Linked DNA regions of Caenorhabditis elegans. The protein of the gene in region 1 purifies or fractionates together with the protein of each later gene. This does not show direct contact. Each region holds a gene or a part of one and is shown in the gene's direction. Other genes may lie near its edges. The genes, in order: emb-1, apc-1 and such-1.

Region 1 (3,721 bases):
AGAATGTAATCACCGGATGCATTGAGGGAGATATCTGTAAAACATTGTTTGTTCAATAGAAGAATTACAGCTAGCGAATTTTTTTCAAATATCTCACCTGTAACGGGTGCCTGATGGACATCAATAATAGCCTTCGAAGACGAATCAGTTGCACTCCAGACTCTAATATGTGAATCAGCAGAAGCAGAGATTGCAGTAATATTATCCGGATGCAAAACAACTGCGTTGATCTTCTTGTTATGCCCCTTGAATGTTTGCATAACCTGTTCCTTTTCATAGTCATACAAGACAACGGTTTTATCAATTCCTCCGGTAAGTGACAAATTTCCCTTGATATCCAATGCAGTAATTCCAGGAGTTCCAGTCGAATGAATTCCAGTGTGAGATGCTGTCTGTTTCAGCTCGGCGAGCTCTTCTGTTTTGGCAAGTCCTTCAGGAAGATTTTTTCCTCGTTGTTTACGTTCAGCAGTCAGACTCTTTGATTTCTCTTCAAGTTTTGCCAGAATTGCCTCACTAAGACCTTGTTGATCTTCAGACTCGTCAATGCTGACATCATCGTCAACTTTCGCCGATGTGTGTGGTTTCAAAGTAGACAATGCTTCTCTAGCAGCGGTCAATTCTTTGGAGAGGCGGGAAATAACACGACAAGCGGCATCGTGTTGGTACAGAGAGTGAGAAAGTTCTTGACGAGCAATTTGGAGTTGTTGTCGGAGAGAGAAGCTGTTGAGCATTACTGTATCCCACTCGTCTTGAAGCATTTTTAGTAGAGATGGGATGGATGTTCCAGAGACATTGCGTGGTGCTGATCCAGTGCCGCCACTTTTCAATGAAACGAGCTAAAAAATGAATTTTAGAAATTATTATTTTGTTTTTTCAATGAATTATCATTTCGAAGTTTCACGTCAGTGAAGATAATTGCAAGGTTGACAAACCTGGTCTTCAGAAAGCTCTCCATGGCTGATCGGATCTGTTCCGTTTTCGGCAATGAATTTAACGATCAGCCGACGATCAAAGATGTGCCCTGAGACTTGAGAGACGACTGGGTCTTCGGTCAGTTCACCACTGATTCCGCACACGAAAGACATCTCCTGAAAGTAGCAAAATATACACGAAACCGCTTGATTGACGTGGGACATAAACGAAGAAAGTTTCAATGCGAATTTTGTAGGATAATTACATTTATCGAACGAGTGGTCAATAAATACGTACTCTGGCTAGTGACTAATCGAACGGCGCATTGGATCAAATGTTTTAAACTTGTCTTTAAAAGAAAATCTAGAATTTTAACCAGTTTTTCATGAAAAAATGCAAGTTTTCAAGTCAAAGGAATTCGAGACACCACGGTTTCAAGATCTGATGGGATCCCGGATCTACGTTTTCCGGATCTACCATTTCCGGATCTACGTTTTCCGGATCTACGTTTTCCGGATCTGGCACCGTGCCAACGCACAAAACGCTTTTCAACGCACGACTTTTTTCGAAATTTTCTTCTAGAAGAAACGCTTAAGAACACGCGACGCGTAACATCGCAGCGTCGTTGTCACTTTTTTCTTCGAAAAAATAGCGTTTTAAGAGTTGGCACGGTGCCAGATCCGGAAAACGTAGATCCGGAAAACGTAGATCCGGATATGGTAGATCCGGAAAACGGAGAATCCCACCAGATCTTGAAACCGTGGTGTCTCAGGAATTCCATGCAATGAGAATTCGAAAAACTGCAGTGGAGCGTACTTGCTGCAGCTTTTCCGGGCGGGGCCGAAGAAATGTCGGCCATGAGACTGGGGAATAAAAACGATTTGAAAAAATAATTTGGATTTGAATTTTCTTCCCAAAAAATGCAAATCGGGGAATATGAGCTCACTTTCATCGATGTTGCGGTGTTTGTGGTGTTTCTCGTGGCTTTGAATAAAATTGTTAAAAGGATGCTTGTTGCAAAAATCAATGAGCCAGCGAAATATGAGGTAATTTGCAAATAAATCTTGGGATGTGAATTTTTGTTTCTCAGATCGAACAGCTCGAAGAGCGTGATATGACAATGGAAGAAATCGAAAGCATGCGCCGCGAGGAGAACAGGTGCCTGGTCATTGTGGAAGACAAAGTAATAAAATACTTTTCGGATTATCAAAAAAATAAGTTTATTTCAGATTTACGACCTCTCTGGCTCACAAGATCTCTATGACAACAACCGCGATCTTTTCGAGAGTAGTGAAGGATGTGGACCTGAATGGGCACCGATTTGTGCTAGGAAATATCCATTCGTCGGACACGTTTTGAAGAATTAATTAAAATCTCAGCGGGAGTTTGATCAAATTTCGGGTTGTTTAAGTTGTGTCAGTTACATCGTGTTTTTTTGTTGTTAAATAAAACGGTTATTTTTTTTCATACATTGCTTTTTACATCTCTTATTATTATAGGCTGAAACAACCTTCATTTTACTTTTGCCCGTTTTTTAGATGACTTTGATTCAAAAAACCACGTTTACAGATCAAGTATGGCTTTGATGTACCCATTCCACGTAGCACAACCTCCACTCAACTGGTCCGAGCACTTGTGGGTTTCCGAAGTCTCACCAGCAAAAGAGTCATTCATCACCACGATTTGTGAGCACCGTCAAGCTCAATGGGTACGTTTTTATTTCAAAATCACACTTTTCTGAAAAAGTACATTGTTGTTCATTCTAAATTTATTGCAGGATAATCAAGATCTTCTGCGTCACTTGCAAGACAGTGTGGCTATTCTGACTCGTGAAGATCAACGTCATGTGAACGCTGTCCATGCAGCAGCAAATATGCCTGCAAATCCTTGAATTCCCTATTCTACACCATATTTATCTGTAAATAAAACTCGATTTGGCATACCATTTTTTTTAATTATGGAATTCATTTCCGAGGTACTGACCTCGTTATTACCTAATTTAATATTTTGTTCTCAAATTATTCCAGATTTTATTCAATCGCTTCTTTTCAGTTTCATTGGGAAAGACGAACCGAATAATAGGTATTAATATTGTACTGTAATTATTAAAAAGAGTTGTGAGATGACCGATGAGCAAAGGTCTGGAAGTAGGCGGAGAGGAGGAGCCCTTGGAGGTGGAAGGGGAGGAAATAGCCAGAATAGTGGTGAGTTCATGACTAATCATTTTTAAAAATTCATACAATGAAGTATATTAGGCCCTTCGTATTGCTTAAAGATTGAGGTTTTACTGTTCTTAGTATTCAAAAATACCGTTGATTCACTCTCTACTATAACTTTTTCCTTATCAATCCTGAAGTTATTGAACAGTTTTAGCAGAAACGCCACTTTTATTTATTTATCAACTTTCTTATCAAACAAAGTGAAAACTTTATAGCAATTTTCGAACAGAGTGTTCTTCATTTTTTCTTAATTTTCATATTGAACTAACATTGAACTTACAGGCCGGAAAAGATCATCAAACAGTCCAGCTGATTCGGCTTCCTCCTCCCAAAAGACGAGCAGAAATCCATCGCAAAATCGTCCTCCAATGAACATCGTTCCTCAAAAAGTCACAATTCTGAAACGAAATCAGGATTCTCAGCCAACATCTCCAATAAATCGGAATGCGCCACCAGGACCCTTGGTTGCCGCTGTACAACCATTGATGGCTGTTGAATTGGGCGATTCGGGAGCTTCATTGAAAGGATGGAATTCAAATCCTACTACTCCAGAGAAAACAACGATTAATGTTGCTGGACGACAAGCAGAA
Region 2 (4,450 bases), on another chromosome or scaffold:
CCGAACGCCAGTTTTCCAGGCTATGAATTTGCAGGAGGACAAAGAAAGTAAGTTTGATAGTGATTAAACGAAATTCAACAAAAACTAGATTGCAGATCTGAAATTGTCGGACCATCCAGTTCTCCTCGGCATTCTCTCCAAACCCCCAATCGTAAAATGTGGAGTAAAACGACGACACGACTCAGAAAATGGGGAAAACGAATTTACAATAAAATTAAAGAAGGTATTGAAACACAGCAGTTAAACATAATTTTAATTTCTTTTCAGAAATCGCCTAAAACGACTTCTGAGCGGACTTAATTACAACTTGGAAGATTCTCAACAATGTGCCATCGAGTTTTATGTGATATACAGTTTTTCTCTAGTATTTAGAATAAAAGTTTTTAATAAATTCATTTTGTTAAAGAACTAGAAGGAAAATAGGCAAAAGAAAATGCAAAAACAAAAAAGAAAAAATAAAGAAAACTCCAATTGCTCGTCATATGTGATGCGTTACAGTAATATCTGTGCGGCACGCAGACGCAACATTGCACAGCGCGGGAAAATTTGTTGTTGACAATTTAAGTTTATACTCCCAAAAAATTGTTTTTTCTCTTTTCAAATGAAAGTTTTGCTGAAGTATTGTGTTTATTTTTGTTTAATTAAAAGTTTTTAAGCGGCGGCAGTGTTAATAAGTGATTCAAGCTGGAATTATCAACTGAAATCAACCAAAAAATCGGCCTGTCGGTCTGTTCTAGCGGTAGAATTCTAAAAACATCATGAATACAGTTTATATGTTTGTTTAAAAACATTTATTGATAAACCTTTTCGAAACGTACTAATTCCCGCCGTATGGCCGGTTTTTAGTGGACTAGGCAACGCTCGGTTTCTAGGCTCTCCCGCGCTATTATACTCATTTGAATTTATCCGCTTTTTATTGAATTTTGAATATATATCGAATAGTATTTATTTTCAGATATTAACAAATCAGAAAATGGACACTGAAAACATCGCCGACGCCTCTGATATTCGTGTGAAGGATGCTTCAGGAGATTCAGATGAAAAAGGAAACGGGACTACTACAGAAGAAGAGACTGTCGAGCAGAAGTAAACTTTTGCTGCAGAATATCATCAATAAAATCACTTTTCGTATTCCAGAGAGAAGCGTCTCGCCGAGTTGCTTGCAGCTGGACGCCGTGCGTTGAAAGTTAACGATATCGACAAAGCATCGGATTCGTTGAGTGAGGCTACTGAACTGAGCTCCGAAATTTATGGAGAAAACCATGAAAACACGTTCGATTCTCTTTACTATTATGGCATGGCCACACTGGAATTGGCGAAGGAGGAGAGCCAACTTCTGAAAGGTCCAGGTGAGAAGGAAAGCGGAGATGAGGAGCAAGCTGGAAATTCTGATGACAAGACTGACGAAGAGAATGGAGAAACGGAGAAGGAGGACGGAGAGGAATCCGGTGAAGAAGAGGACGATGATGATGATACCATGAAATTATCATGGGAAATTCTTGAGGTTTCTTATTTTATTCAATGATTTTATGCTTAATTGTGATTATTTTCAGACAGCTCGTTGTATTGCCGCTGCCAAAATCGAAGCTCTAGAAGCTGAGCAGAGTGGAATCAGTGCCATTGAGGAATGGAACCTGAAACTCGCTGATGTACTGGTTCTCCTCGGCGAGCACGGAATATCAGATGGAAAGTATACTCAGGCTTTTGAGGACTTGGATCGTGCCCTCAACATTCAGCGCAATGTTCTTCCACCGTCGTCGAGAAAAATCGCCCAAACCTACATTCTCATCGGAAACGCGTGTGCTAGCGATGCGAATTACGATGAAACCGTTCAGTACTTCGGCAAAACCAAGGACGTACTCATCGCCAGGCAGACTGAGTTGAAGCATGAGCTGGAAAGAGGTGTTGATGATAAGGAAAAGAAGTCTGAATTTGAGAATGAGCTGAAGGAGCTTGAAGAGATGATGCCAGGCGTTGAAGAAATGATTGCTGATGCTGTGCACTCTGCAGCACAAGTTGAGGAAACTAAGAAGGCCATTAAAGCGCAATTCGAAGGATTCACACAAGTATTGGCAAAACTTCCACAAGAAGCCGGTGATCAGAAGGAAGCAAATGATATTTCTAGCTTGGTACGGTTTGAATTAACTTCCCGTAGACTTTTTAAATATTCAATTAACAAATTTCCAGGTTCGTCGTCCAGCAAAACGAGCAGTGGATGCTCCAACTGACAATCAAGCAGTGAAGAAAGAAAAGGAGGAGGAAGGAACAACTTCGATCTGAATATTGATAACCTGTAATTCTAAATATTTCATCATGATCTGACCTACTGAACTACTGATAATGTATCAATTAACATTTTATCTGTTATCCGAATTTAAGGATTCTAAAGTAAAACTTGTTCTGTATATATATATTCGCCATATATTCGTTTTTATAATTTGTTTCAAATCTTTTTCATACTTCCAAAATAATTTTACTATTTAAAACAGGATTTTCAGCTTCATTCAAATTCGAATTATACTTGTATGAGTGAAGAATTTGATGATTGCCATTGGAAAAATATGATCTCTGCTAATAAACAGTTTGATATTCAGCTGGGAGATGAAATTGGAAAGGTAATTTTTTTTAGATAATTAACAATTTAAAAAAAGTAAACTTAAATTTTCAGGATTTCTTCACCCAGGATACAGTGGTCTGCGCGTTTCGAAACAAGGAGAAGACCACGGATTTTGTCTTCACATCGGGTCCAATTATTCTCATTTGTGATGGAACGACGCGACGGAAGATGATTAAACGACGGTTCAAAATGGAGTTTGATATCAAAAAAGTGTTCTTCCACTCGTTCATTGTGACTCGAAACGCTGAAAAGTTGGCAACTGAGAATTGTGGTGGACCTGATACGAAGCATCGGGATTATTTGGTTGTGTGCGGTGAGCATAAGCTCCAGTTCATATCGCTTCCCGACTATCATTTCTATCACTATGAAATTCCTTTTAAGGTGAGAATTTAGTTTGAAATTCTGATAATTTCAAATATTTCCAGCTTCGCAACGTGTTCTCCTGCTCGACAAGTCTTCTGGTCGAACGGTTCTACGATTCATCCAGCGAACAAACCTTCCACCATCACGACACATTTCACCTCTACTCGCTATCCGGTCCATTCGGCGAGCTTCTCCCGGTTATCTACAAGACAAGCGGCTACCATCCACAATGGAAATTCTGTTGGCAATCGCATCGAGACGAGGCTGGACTCGTTGACGCTCAGCAAAATTACGTTGTTGTCTATGATCAGAAGGAGAAGACGCATCGGATTTATATGGCACGAGAGACACAAGAACAGGAAGTTCACGCAGCGATTCGATACGTTGAAGCACTCAGAAGACCGTCTGATTCAACAATGTTCGCGTCGAGTTTGGCGCCGAATTCTGCCGGCAGAACTACGCATTTTGATCCGACACTCAACTCTCCCGCCGGTAATTTTTGAAAACTTGAGCTTTTGGATAAATATATTATTCGTATTGTATCAGACATTCAAATCGTCAATATTTAGTTAATTTACAGTGATTTAAGTTAAAAACCAAAAAAACCTCGTTTCGAACAGGAAATAATTCGATTTTCCCCAAAAACTACTAAAAAAATCAAATGTTAAATTAGAAAGAGTTGTGATTAAAAACTAAAAAATAAATATTTTCAATTATGATATAGTGTGGAAGTCCGAGTTAATTTATATTCAACAAAAAATCATAATTATTTTCCAGAAAATGTGCTCTCCGAAGTGATCAGCTCGGAAATTGATAGCCGCTCACCGTTCACTCCTCATCTGCGATCCGGTTTTGGACATTCTACTCCAAACAACCCGAACGCTCCAGGCTACCCTGCAACACTTCCAACACCGAATTTTGAAGGTAATTTTTTTTTTTAATTCATAAAAATTTATTAGCACCATTAACCTCAAGTCGTGGGCGATCGTGCACGATGATGATGATCAAAATTTAAAAGTGTTATGCTTCGCCGTTGCTGATGCGCTCGTCCTGGCACTCGATTCTGTTTGACTTGATCTTCGAGGGGGCTCAATTGAGACGTCAACTTGAGCAGTTGAATGTCGCAATTATTTAGAAGAATTGACGGGTTGTTGGGAGAAGACATACGGCGGTTTCTGAAAATACGTGAAGTGAGAATTATAGCTGATGTCCGTCAAATTGTTACATACCGTAGTGCTGTGAAGTCTTGGCTATTCCTTTGAAGAGCTCCACCCGCGCGGAACATACTTCTTCGTCGATATGGAGTAATTGGAGATGATGGCTGAGTTGTTGTAGTCGTCGAGTTGCTCTCTGTTGAGCCAAGAAGAGCACACATTGGAGCTAGATTTGAGTAAATTAGAATATGAATTTAGCCAACAGAAACCAACAACAAAAAAACTATAAAACGAAAAGCACACGGCACACAGCAAA
Region 3 (4,450 bases), 6.4 Mb from region 1:
TAAAATGTGTGAAATTATGAAATTTGACCGAAAACTGAAGGTTTTACAGGAAGGATTCGCTACGGCTTTCTTTAAAATGTATCAGAATCGTCAGTTTTTCGATTTCAGTCGTAAAATATGCCATTTTGTAGAGAAAAGTCTGTTTCACAAAAATCCATGTTTGACATTTCAAAATTGTTTTTATTTAAAACCTGAAAAATCGAAAAAATAAGCTTTTAAAGGTGGAGTAGCGCCAGTGGGGAAATTGCTTTAAAACACGCATATGGTACCACAATGACCGAATATCATGATAAAAATTTTTTCTAGATTTTATATGATTTTTTGAAAATTGAAAAAATCTCAGTTTTGCCTAATTCCTATTTGAATTACCGCCAATTGGATTTGTTCGATGGAGCGCGCTTGCACGTTTTTATTTTTATTTATTGTTATTTTTTCTTATTTTTCACCGACTTTTCATGTTTTCAGTGTATTTTTGTCTGAAATTTGAAGAAAAAGTCAAAATAAATGCTAATTTTCGATTAAACAGCACGCTTACAGGCGTTAAATTAAAAAAATGCATTTAAGCGATTTCGAACCCGAATTAATTAATTTCAAAAAATAGCATTTATTTTGACTTTTTCTTCAAATTTCAGACAAAAATACACTGAAAACATGAAAAGTCGGTGAAAAATAAGAAAAAATAACAATAAATAAAAATAAAAACGTGCAAGCGCGCTCCATCGAACAAATCCAATTGGCGGTAATTCAAATAGGAATTAGGCAAAACTGAGATTTTTTCAATTTTCAAAAAATCATATAAAATCTAGAAAAAATTTTTATCATGATATTCGGTCATTGTGGTACCATATGCGTGTTTTAAAGCAATTTCCCCACTGGCGCTACTCCACCTTTAAAAGCTTATTTTTTCGATTTTTCAGGTTTTAAATAAAAACAATTTTGAAATGTCAAACATGGATTTTTGTGAAACAGACTTTTCTCTACAAAATGGCATATTTTACGACTGAAATCGAAAAACTGACGATTCTGATACATTTTAAAGAAAGCCGTAGCGAATCCTTCCTGTAAAACCTTCAGTTTTCGGTCAAATTTCATAATTTCACACATTTTAAATTCGGATGATGCTTCTCAAGAATATTATAAAACAAAAAATCAAAAATAATTTCCTATAGAAGCCAAAAACAGCCAAAAACTGCTGTCCCCGCGAAACGAATTCCCGCGAATTTTGGAGTTCGTGAGGTGCCGCATACATCTGTAATCCCTGCGAGTTTCGTTTCTTCGATGGTGTTCCTTCAATGGACGTCGGTGGTTTTCTCGTCTCTTATCACGCCATTGATGCTCCGATCTCAAAGTGCCATTACTTTCAGATTTGGCGGGAGACTTCAGTTGCTCCATATCTCTCGACAATCCACGTGACGATGAGAAATCTTGAGTTGCGTAGGAATAGGCTCCATAATACGAGTCACGGGCCGCTTGATTAGCTTTTTTCACATCTTTTTGGTCTTCCGAGTCGGAGGACGGCTTGTCTGAAAAATGAAATAAAAAGATTTAAAAAAATAAATTTTTAGCTTCAAATAAATACCGTCAAAAAAGGATCCAGCTCCTTTACCGAACATTTCAAATGGCTCAGTTTCTTGTGTGCTCGGCGCTGGCCAAGGATTCGGTGCACGGCTCGTTTCTAAATTTCTTCCAAATAATTCTTCTACGGCGATTGAAGTCATTTTTTATTGAAAAACGCGTTTTAAAGTGAGAAATGCGTGGATTTGCGCATGAAAAAATTTTAAAACACACAAAAAAAAATTTGAATGACAAAAAATGTCGTGGCGAGACCCACCGCGCTACCGTACCCGATTCTCTGCGTCTCTCTCGATGTGTGTGCTGAAGAGCGGTCTCTCGGAAAACAAAATTTAATTTGTTTTGTTTTTATTTTATTTTGAAGTCGAAAATTTCCGTTTTCCCTATTGTTCAGTGTATTTTTTTCGGAGAAAATCAATAATTTGTCAGATAAATTGCATTTTCCATCATTTTCGCGCGAAAAAAACCGTCCAGTAACACATTTTCCGATGAATTTAGGCCCGAATCCCTGTTTTCTGGTTTTTTCTCAATTTTTGTTCGATTTTTCAGTGTTTTTTGCGCAAATAATCAATAATTTGCCGAATAAAGTGTATTTTCATTTGTCGCATAAAAAACACATTTTCTCGATTTTTTGGCAAAAATTCAGATACATTGCTAAATAAAATGTATTTTCCATGATTTTTCTCAGAAAATTCGTTCAAATGCGCCACAGACAACTTTTTGGCGCGCGCGCGCTTTTCAAAACCCGTTTTCCCTCATTTAAATGCATTTTAACCTCAATTTCTTCCAGAATGCCTCCGAAAAAAGCGCAAACTCGACGAATCGTCAGTCTGGATTCACTTTTTGGCCATACTCTACTGAATATCACCGGCGAACCTGTGACACCAACGAAAATCGCCATTTTTCAACTAATTCGCACACTTTTTCACGCACATTTCGGAGTTGGCGCGGTGCCAAGCCTGAAGCCTTTCGATAAGGATGAGAAAACTCGGTTTTTTGGAATAAAAATGTTGAAAATGAAAAATAAAATTTGGTTTTTCAGAGTATTCACAGTTCTCTATGGCTTAATCATCATGAAATCTGAAATTTCCTACGACGATTTTCGCTGTATCGTGAGAATTTTGAACGATGGGCTCGGGCGATCCATTTATTATCGATTTGTTACAAGGTTTTCTAGAATAATTTTTCAAAATTCCGAGTTTTTTCAACACAAAAAACGTGATTTTCGTAATTTTCAGCATGGAAAAGCTCGCGCACGGTGAAGATCAAATAGAAATGCTCTTTGAAGACGCATTCTACACTGCAAAACGTCCAAATCACGAGAAAGTGCTAAAACGTGAAGATTCTTGGCTCGACGAGCTCACTTTTATGAATAGCAACTCGTTTTTGTATATTTGGATAAAACGCGTCATGATGCAGTACACAAGAACCTCGCAGAATGGAACTTTTGAGATTGCAGAGAAATTCCAAAAATGGATTATTTCAGGAACTTTAGAGATTATGTATGAATTTTCACTGAAAAATTGCGATTTTTTGCCTTTTTTGGGTGGAAAAATTCCGTTAAAAATTCATTTTTTGGTCAAAAAATCGCAAAAATTGTGTATCTTTCCGTTTTTCTTTTCAGTAAAAAAAATCGAAAGCGTAAATTTCGTTCAAAAATTAATTTAAATCCCCACTTTTCTGGTTTTTGAAAGCTTTTTCGTCCCTAAAGACCAAAAAAAGTCTCCTAAAATAGCTTTTTTTTTAAATTTTTCACCAGAAAATAGTAATTTTCACGAATTTTTGACAAAAAAAAAAAGATTTTTGTTTGGGTTTCTAATCGAAAAATGCCGAAATAATCGTAATACATTGACGAAAAAAATTTAAACAATTTTTTTACCGAAAAATTCTTTTCAAGGTTTTTCCACCTAAAAAAGCTGAAAAATTGCATATTTTGCGTTTTTTTAGACCGAAAAATCGAGTTTTCGTAATTTTAAGACTGAAAAATCGAGTTTTCAAGGATTTTCCACCCAAAAAAAGAAAAAATTGTAATTTTTGGATTTTTTAGGAAATTCTGAAAACAGAAAATTTTGCTTTTTAGCTTTTTTTTCTTTTTTGGGTGGAAAAATTGAAGAAAAAAATGTTTTTTCGGTTTGAAAAGCGCTAAAATTGCAAGTTTTTTGCTTTTTTTCTGTAGGAAATCGGTGAAAATTCGATTTTCAGTCAAAAAACCGGTTAAAATTGATGTTTCTTTTGAGTTTTTCAGTCGAAAAATCGTAAAAAATGCGAATTTTTTGTTCTTTTGAATGGGAAACCCTTGACAATTCGATTTTTCGGTATAAAATAAATTTTTTTGAGGTTTTGTTTTGAGAAAAATCAAACAAGAAGCGTTTTTCGGTAGGAAAAACGTCAAAATTGCGAGTCTTTTTGCTTTTTTCTGTAGTAAAACGTTGAAAATTCGGTTTTCAGTCTAAAAACCGGTAACACTGATTTTTTTTTGGGTTATCAGTCAAAAAAATCGTTAAACCCGTTTTTTCAGTTGAAAAATCGTAAAAATTGCGAATTTTTTGTTCTTTCGAATGGGTTCAAATTTTTTTTCGTCAATGTATTACGATTATTTCGGCATTTTCGATTAGAAACCCAAACAAAAATCTTTTTTTGTCAAAAATTCGTGAAAATTACTATTTTCTGGTTAAAAATTTAAAAAAAGCTATTTTAGGAGACTTTTTTTGGTCTTTAAGGACCAAAAAGCTTTCAAAAACCAGAAAAGTGGGGGATTTAAATTAATTTTTGAACGAAATTTAAGCTTTCGATTTTTTTTACTGAAAAAAAAACGGAAAAATACACAATTTTTGCGATTTTTTGACCAAAAAATGAATTTTTTACGGAATTTTTCCAC

What was found.
Region 2: the proteins of emb-1 (region 1) and apc-1 purify together in Caenorhabditis elegans (affinity purification with mass spectrometry, with the first as the bait; one study listed by BioGRID). This does not show direct contact.
Region 3: the proteins of emb-1 (region 1) and such-1 purify together in Caenorhabditis elegans (affinity purification with mass spectrometry, with the first as the bait; one study listed by BioGRID). This does not show direct contact.

Annotation. Positions count from the first base shown.
Region 1 is NC_003281.10:5,170,958-5,174,678, forward strand, and holds emb-1 (Anaphase-promoting complex subunit emb-1), read left to right. Parts: upstream 1-2,481; 5' UTR 2,482-2,488; coding exon 2,489-2,620; intron 2,621-2,689; coding exon 2,690-2,803; 3' UTR 2,804-2,852; downstream 2,853-3,721. Other genes in the region: prp-19 (Pre-mRNA-processing factor 19), read right to left, coding at 1-34, 98-836, 933-1,085; K10D2.5 (uncharacterized protein), read left to right, coding at 1,833-1,958, 2,003-2,095, 2,142-2,279; cid-1 (4Fe-4S ferredoxin-type domain-containing protein), read left to right, coding at 3,035-3,116, 3,414-3,721. UniProt on the Caenorhabditis elegans protein: Probable component of the anaphase promoting complex/cyclosome (APC/C), a cell cycle-regulated E3 ubiquitin ligase that controls progression through mitosis and the G1 phase of the cell cycle.
Region 2 is NC_003280.10:11,105,663-11,110,112, forward strand, and holds the start of apc-1 (Anaphase-promoting complex subunit 1), read left to right. Parts: upstream 1-2,498; 5' UTR 2,499-2,561; coding exon 2,562-2,615; intron 2,616-2,668; coding exon 2,669-2,998; intron 2,999-3,042; coding exon 3,043-3,472; intron 3,473-3,757; coding exon 3,758-3,904; intron 3,905-3,908; exon of another isoform or gene 3,909-3,950; coding exon of another isoform or gene 3,951-4,155; intron 4,156-4,209; coding exon of another isoform or gene 4,210-4,360; intron 4,361-4,450. Other genes in the region: C09H10.9 (YqaJ domain-containing protein), read left to right, coding at 1-47, 96-223, 268-300; nasp-1 (Protein NASP homolog 1), read left to right, coding at 974-1,086, 1,138-1,504, 1,554-2,129, 2,188-2,280; glb-4 (GLOBIN domain-containing protein), read right to left, coding at 3,951-4,155, 4,210-4,360. UniProt on the Caenorhabditis elegans protein: Probable component of the anaphase promoting complex/cyclosome (APC/C), a cell cycle-regulated E3 ubiquitin ligase that controls progression through mitosis and the G1 phase of the cell cycle.
Region 3 is NC_003281.10:11,521,672-11,526,121, reverse strand, and holds the start of such-1 (Suppressor of spindle checkpoint defect 1), read left to right. Parts: upstream 1-2,362; 5' UTR 2,363-2,363; coding exon 2,364-2,563; exon of another isoform or gene 2,564-2,568; intron 2,569-2,614; coding exon 2,615-2,740; intron 2,741-2,810; coding exon 2,811-3,074; intron 3,075-4,450. Other genes in the region: Y66D12A.16 (Spen family transcriptional repressor), read right to left, coding at 1,248-1,523, 1,580-1,718. UniProt on the Caenorhabditis elegans protein: Probable component of the anaphase promoting complex/cyclosome (APC/C), a cell cycle-regulated E3 ubiquitin ligase that controls progression through mitosis and the G1 phase of the cell cycle.